Nothobranchius furzeri: one gene and its partner. The protein of the gene in region 1 purifies or fractionates together with the protein of each later gene. This does not show direct contact. Links are inferred from orthologs where the notes say so. Each region holds a gene or a part of one and is shown in the gene's direction. Other genes may lie near its edges.

The links.
Region 2: the proteins of ift122 (region 1) and ift140 purify together in Homo sapiens (affinity purification with mass spectrometry; 4 studies listed by BioGRID and IntAct, counting the BioPlex papers as one, with this or other methods). This does not show direct contact. The link is inferred for Nothobranchius furzeri from reciprocal best matches to the Homo sapiens genes IFT122 and IFT140.

The regions. Positions count from the first base shown.
Region 1 is NC_091755.1:54,390,787-54,394,714, forward strand, and holds the start of ift122 (intraflagellar transport protein 122 homolog), read left to right. Parts: upstream 1-1,226; 5' UTR 1,227-1,330; coding exon 1,331-1,371; intron 1,372-2,312; coding exon 2,313-2,379; intron 2,380-2,453; coding exon 2,454-2,538; intron 2,539-2,626; coding exon 2,627-2,705; intron 2,706-3,928. Other genes in the region: mbd4 (methyl-CpG-binding domain protein 4), read right to left, coding at 1-88, 159-277. UniProt on the Homo sapiens protein: As a component of the IFT complex A (IFT-A), a complex required for retrograde ciliary transport and entry into cilia of G protein-coupled receptors (GPCRs), it is required in ciliogenesis and ciliary protein trafficking.
Region 2 is NC_091756.1:32,324,632-32,327,964, reverse strand, and holds the end of ift140 (intraflagellar transport protein 140 homolog), read left to right. Parts: intron 1-162; coding exon 163-375; intron 376-558; coding exon 559-725; intron 726-1,374; coding exon 1,375-1,516; intron 1,517-1,916; coding exon 1,917-2,093; 3' UTR 2,094-2,583; downstream 2,584-3,333. UniProt on the Homo sapiens protein: Component of the IFT complex A (IFT-A), a complex required for retrograde ciliary transport and entry into cilia of G protein-coupled receptors (GPCRs).

The DNA.
Region 1 (3,928 bases):
AAAAAAGTTCATGTCCAGGTTTACTCCTCCACCTTTTAACAGGAATGCATGCAAGGATGCTCTTGAGCGGAATTTCTGCCCTGCAGGACTTAAATAACAGAAACATTATTTAGACATGATCTAGGATTAAATATCAGGGTGGAGAAAAAATAAGATACCTTGTTATGTAAACATCCAATTTTCCTGCTGTCTTGCCTGTTCTTCTCTGCCTCACTTCTCTAATCCACCCATGGGGCATTGGGTCACACGGTTCCTCCTTGGGGCTTTTAACATCCATTCTGCCGCTGAGCTCCTTTTCACAGTATGATGCACTTAATATATAGTTGAGTCAATGATGAAATTTGGGTTGTAGAAGAGCCGCGTTTCTTGTCATCTTTGCCTTTAATTTGCAGCAGTAACACATACAGCAGATAAAAAAAAAACTCACCGTGTTATTTAGAAAGTATCACCAGCCACCATTGATATTAGTTTATTTAGCCAAATAGGAGTCTGTAGTGTGCATACTGCTTGTTTCCCGATGTAAACATTTGAGCGGAACTAGTTTTGCAGGCATGCAGGAAGTGGATCCGCTCCTTTTCTAGCGGGTTAGCGGGTTGGAAGTCCTGACGGGCGAAGATGATATACGTGCATTAGAAATATATATATAACAGGAATAAATACGCTTTCTGTTCATTGTGGGGGATGCGAGGAGATGAAGCTACTTCTGTCTTGTACTTCTGGGTTCTGCGTGGGGTGGGTTTTACAAACTCCGCCTACGCGGAGCAACTCTACGGTAGCCGGCAATTTAATGGTGCTGACCTACAAATCACCAGACATGCTGCATTTGTGTCCCAACGAAAATCGGACCTAGCGGCAAAACCTTTGCTACTCTTTAATCGGGCCAACACTACGAGCGAAGAACAACACATTTTTCTGCATTGGATGTCTTCTAACACTGTATGAATATGTTCACCAACAGGGCTTGTATGTTACTGCGTGCGACTAATTATTAATACGATGGAAGCCGATAAAATATCAAATAAGTTTATTTATTTAACATTTAATGTTATATTTAGCCTGGATTATTGAGTATTGAGGTCGTTACTTTTCAGAAGTCCCACATTTTGAACTGTATTTCTAAATTTCAATGTTTTTTTATATTTTGTTTGGTTGGTATTTGGTTATTTTTTCTACATGAATCCAAGAAATCCCGACCTCTGAGAAGATCTGGAACAAACCACGAGTTTGCGCAGTGTGACCAAATCCTTCCATTGAAGAAAAAAAAAGACGAGCTGTAATAGCTACTTGTTGATTCAAAAATATTTTGAACGATGTGCAATTATAGGTGAAGATGAGGGCGAATCACTCATGGACAGCTTCAGTTCGTGAACGGTAAGTGGTGGCAAGAGTATTATTATGTTATCCTTCAGATAAAGCTAGCTCATTAGCTGGGTAGCAACCTAGCAACGGTGGTTGCTATGTAAACTAGAGGAAGCCTGCTAACACTTAGCCCTCCAGCCATTCTTTTTTTTTATTTAAAAAAATATGTATTTTATCTCGCTGTATATTAGTTATAAAACATATTTTTTCTAATAATGTAACGCGACCTCTCGGGTCGGGTGAAACGTTACTGTTAAGTAAGCTAGCTTATGATGTTTCGACTCACTTGACCGCAGTTCTTCGATGCTACAACTAGTATATGAAACATTTTTACCGGATTATGCTGCCAGTGTTTATTTACAGAAAGCTTTGTGTTTGTGGAATATTAAAAAATCGTAAGATTATTGTTTTAATTGTTTTTGTTGTGTGGTCCTCCTAGCCACCAGCTTCGACTCTAACAGCGTCTAACTTGTTCTTTTATTATTTTTGATCAGTCTGATTCTGCTTGTGAATCTGCAAAAACTTTTTTGACCAAGGGGATTCAGTTCTATTGTTAAAAGACATGCAATCAATTTCAGCTGCTTTTCACTTTTCCGGGACACAATAATCCAAAAGCTGCATGCCTTTGCATCTGCCAACACCTTTTGTGCCTTTCTCAAATATAAGAAGTTATTTTGATTAATCAACAATGCTTTTACTCCACAGCCACGTTCTCAATTATAGCTACTTATGATCAAGCTGCTCTTTCTGACTGTTGTGATCTGTGTCATTTTTGTACACGTAAGCTTTATTTTGGACATGCACAGAGAAATATCGCTCTAAAGGACTTTAGAGGTCTGGACTAAAAAGTAACCTTTATCACAAAACTTTTGGGATTGATTTAGCCTCCATGCTATTGCTGATGGACTTATCAATGCATTTAAAAATGTTTTAACACAAATTTCTTTTCACAGTGTTTATGACCTTGCCTTCAAGCCAGATGGCAGTCAGATTATAATAGCTACAGGGCATCGTGTGCTGGTGAGGATGCTCTTTTATCTTTGCAGCAAAGGAGAGAATGGATCATTATTGTGAATGATCTTTTCTCTTTGCAGGTCTGTGATGCAGCAGATGGAGCCATTATCCAACCTTTAAAAGGACACAAAGACACAGTGTACTGTGTGGCTTATGCCAAGGATGGTACTTGAGTGTTTTTTGGCTTATTTGATCAAGTTTCTAGTATCACTTGTATTTTTTCCCTGTCACTAACGATAGTATTCTTCCCCAGGTAAAAGGTTTGCCTCGGGATCAGCTGACAAAAGCATCATCATCTGGACATCTAAACTTGAGGGTATTTTAAAATATACGTAAGTGTCATTCCTGTAATACAAAATAATCCCCATGATTTTTTTTAAATAATAGTGTGTTGGTATTATTTACTTTTCTAAGATCTCTATACCCACAAAATAAATGGTTTGAATACAGTAATATATTGAGAAGTTTTCTGAAAATAATTAAAAAATCTGTGATTTATGTATTAAATTGTGCTGTAACAGAAACAGTTTTCAGTGTCATCACTGACTAAACCCATGACTGATTTGAGAAAATACAAACAAATCGCAAATTCCACGCCAGCAACACACCTCAAACTACAGGTTGAAGGGAGACGAAGAGAGTGTTTTACAGAAGTTTTCTGGAAGAAGCTAGCATCCCATCTAACAACCAATTTATCATTACCAACAACCATCACTCAATGCTTTAGGTCAAACTCTATCAGAGGGTCATTGAGTTTTTTAGAAATAGCTCTCAATATGATTTTTCAAGAGCTGAGGGGTTTTTCTTTTAGCAATAACAGTGAATAATCTGGTGGAGAAATCTGAATGTAGAGGCCAAGGTTGGAAACTGCTGTCAGATGGACCAGTGAGCCCTAGGGAGTAAAACCGTTATCAGTATTTCCTCTGGAGGGTCACTTGGAAAAAGCATTGTTACTCAGATCATGATGCCCTTTACAGCCAGAAACACAATTAGTTATTTTATTCAGCAAGAAGAAGAAATATAATCATTCTGTTCAAAATCAGCACCCAATCCTCTGACGGCGTTCACATGTTCGACATCTGCTGATGAGGTTATTTTTCGGCTTGCTTGTTATAAGAAAAGGGACTGGGTTCTATGTGCCGAACAAGTAAAATAACCATTTAGTCTGTCATCAGGAAAAGGTGCAAAGCCCAAAGACTGTGATCATATGAGTGTGCTGTGTATTTCTGTAAAGGTGATACTGATGCAAAAGTAGAATTTCGTGCAGAAGACGTGCACCAGCAGCATCAGGGCAAAGTCTTACTGGGACTTCTGGTGTTATTTCACACCAACTCTCATTCTGCATGACTTACACCAGTGTGGCTTCTGAGGGGCGTGTGCCGGACTGTTCCGTTCTCTGCCTCCTATTAAAAATGTATGGCACATCCCGGAGAGGTGAATCAGATGTGATGACCACGGACTGTTGAGCAGCTGAGATCTTCTACTCTGCTAGACACGACACACATTTATCCTGCAAAACTGCAACAGTTGCAATGATCAACTATACCCAGCATTC
Region 2 (3,333 bases), on another chromosome or scaffold:
TACCATATTTTTTTATGTTTACAGTAGCTGTTGTCTTTCCCATTTTTTCTTCTCTGCCTATTTAAAAAAGGGATGATGGAACATGGATTTAACTTTGTTTTAGTCCAAATGTGTTTGGATTTTCTTTTTATGCACTTTTTAAATAATAATGTTCTATTTCAGGCAATGAGAGCACTCCTCAAGTCAGGAGACACAGAGAAAATCATTTTCTTTGCCAACGTTTGTCGTCAGAAGGAGCTGTTCATCATGGCTGCCAACTACCTCCAGTCTCTGGACTGGCGTGAAAGCCCAGAGATCTTAAAGACCATCATTGGTTTCTACACCAGAGGCAAAGCACCGGAGCTGCTCGCTGGCTTCTACGAAGCCTGTGCTCAGGTTGAGCAACACTGTTTGTTTTTGAAAAGACTTTTCACACCATTGTTTGTCTTATTCCATCCCAACAGTTAATATCTGAATATTCAATAAGGCCAAGATTCTGTTTTTAATGTCTTAATATAAGATTAATGTTCTTTTCATGTCTTAAAAGAAGAAGCAAACATTTTTGTCGCTGTGGTGCAGGTGGAGATTGACGATTACCAAAACTATGAAAAGGCTCTGAATGCTTTAACGGAGGCCTTCAAGTGTTTGTCCAAAGCTAAAGACTCTTCAGGAGGACAACAAGAAGTAAGACTAGCGGACCTTCATAACAAGATCAGCCTCATCAAGAAGTTTGTCCACATCCGCAGGTGTGTGAAAAATAAAAATGTCAACTCTGATGTATTTAGACAAGAAAGCGCTGGCCACAGGGAAAAGAGATCACGTTTTGCACGACTGAAGGAAAAGCTGTTGAATAGAAGCGTAGAATTAAAACTAACAGAATGTTTACTCTTCAAGGCTGATGTTATTTTCTCGTTTAAAAGACCATCTTCAGACTGGCTTCCTGATTATTTGATTGTTTTTGTTTTTCATAAATGACTAAATCAGCTGAGAACATTCCTCCCCTTTGCTGCTGACAGTCCAGTTAACATTGAATTCTGGGTTTATCTATTTTATACAGGATTCTCGTCGTGTTAAAAATGTTTTATCTGGTTTATTTTTATGTGTTAGTCGTTGATTCATAAAGCTAATGCTCCTAAATCCTTTCAGTTTGTCAAAACACAAGAGTTCACTTCTCTTTTTGTTGCTGCTTTGTTTTTTGTTGTTTTTTAATAATAAACGTCAGAAAATCCAAATAGTTTATATTCACATTCTTACATGAAGTTATATTTATTCTGGTTTTTTTTCCCCCACTGAGAAATCTTTTTTTCTCCTGAAAAAACGGGTTTTTGTGGTGGTATGTCAGTCTGGGCTTCTCGGTTTATTCATTTATTTACTGTATTTATTTGTTTTGTTTAGTTTGTACTCCAAGGATGCCGACGAGGCGGTTCTGTTATGTGAAGCTCTGCTGGAGGAACCAGAACTGGACCCTGCTGTCAGGATCGGAGATGCTTTTGGTTTCCTTATAGAGCACCACTGTCAGCAGAGGAATTTCCAAACGGTGACTCTTTTCTATCCATTTACTCAGCTGATTTTGTAGAAAAAGCTTTTTGCATGAGTTTATTTAACTCAGAATTAACATATTCAGCAATTTAAAAAATAAGATAGCATCAGAAACATAAAACTACAATAATTTAGGGCCCTTATTTCACTAAGATAAATTATTTCGAGTATCTTCACCATCTAACCTTTGCAAATTGCCCCTGATGGGTGATTTGAATAGATTAAATAAAAATCTCAGATTACTAATTCCAGCAAAGATTTTTGGATTAATTTCTTTTCTGTTTCCTTATGAAAATCTGGTAAACTTTAACAAATTAAAAACATGTTTCTTTTGTTTGAAACAATTCTAAAAATATATAAAATATAAGTTTGTTTTGTTTTTGTGTTTTTCTCTGCAGGCCTACCGGAAGTTGGAGGAGCTGCAGAAACTTCTTCCCTCACAAAATGTCAGATATTACATCAGCCAGTCAAGCTTCAATGCCCTGCAAAAAGAGATGGGAATACCTGCGAAAGTCGACCTCGGGAAAAATCAGAACGAGGACGACGAGGTAGAGGAGGAGCTGCATGAGTCTTAGCGTCATTCTTTACCATTTTCATATAAAAAGGCATTTTCACACTGAATGAAACTGCAGTTTTATTTAAATTTAATCTGATTTACTTGCTGAGCAGAAAAAAACTCATGCTCATTTGCAAACCAGTTTTGAATAGAAAGATGATTTTGAAATACATTTTCAAAATAATAATAATTAAGAAAGCGGCTTATGTACAGGATGGATGAAAGTTGCATTAATATGAGTTTATTTGTAGTTTTTGAGCAGCTTTTGCACCAAAAGGTTCAACTTGATAAACAGATTTTGCCTTCAAGTTAAATCAGTCTTTTTGTGGTTTTCATGCATTTTATACTAAATGTTTCTAACTGAATTGATTTAAAAAGATTCTGTGTCAAAATGTCCAAATCTGTCCTACATTTTGCAGCTATTTTTGATAATCATCTCTATTTGTAACTGGCACTATTTATCTGATACATGGTGAAGTTCATATAATAAAAGAGACTTTTAAACATGAGTTGTGTTGTTTTGGGGGAATAACAGCACAGCCTATAATATCTTTCAATAAGCCAGGCCATTTAAATAGTTAAAAGGGATCTAAGCATAAGTTAAAATTTATTTTTGTGTAAATGTCTCACGTCAACGCTTCAGAAAGACAGGCGTGTCGTCTGATTAGAAGGGTTGAAGAAAAATCGCAGCACAAGTTCACTGAATTAGCTAAAGCAGTAGAAAGCTAGCCTGGCAAGCCAGACTAAATAAATGTATTATTTAGTCTGGCCACGCTCCATTGACGGCTCTCGGTTGTGGGGCGGGTTCTACCGTTGTCTTTCAAATGATCTCCACATTCCACTGGACAAAGAATGTGACATCCTCTTGTTTCACTCTGTTGCATCATCCCACCCACCAGGCATATAGAGTGCCCTGATTGGCCCACAAAGAAGATAAAGCTCTGTGATTTGTTCACTAAGCAGATAGAGCACCATGATTGGCCCACCATTATGGACCAATCACAGCTCTTTATGTGTTTGAAACCCCTCTAGATAGCTGTGATTGGCCAGCCAGAGTCCTGGTAGGAGCTGCAGAGGTTCCAATGGAGCGTGCCTAGACCAAAATTTGCAAAGCAAGAATTTGGTCTAGTTCACTAGGCTAGTAGAAAGCCAAACTGTAGTGACCATTTCCCGTGACACCATACGGCGCACACTGCAGAGGAATGGCTTGCATGGGTATCGTCCATGAAGGAAGCCTCTCCTAAAAGCCCATGCACAAA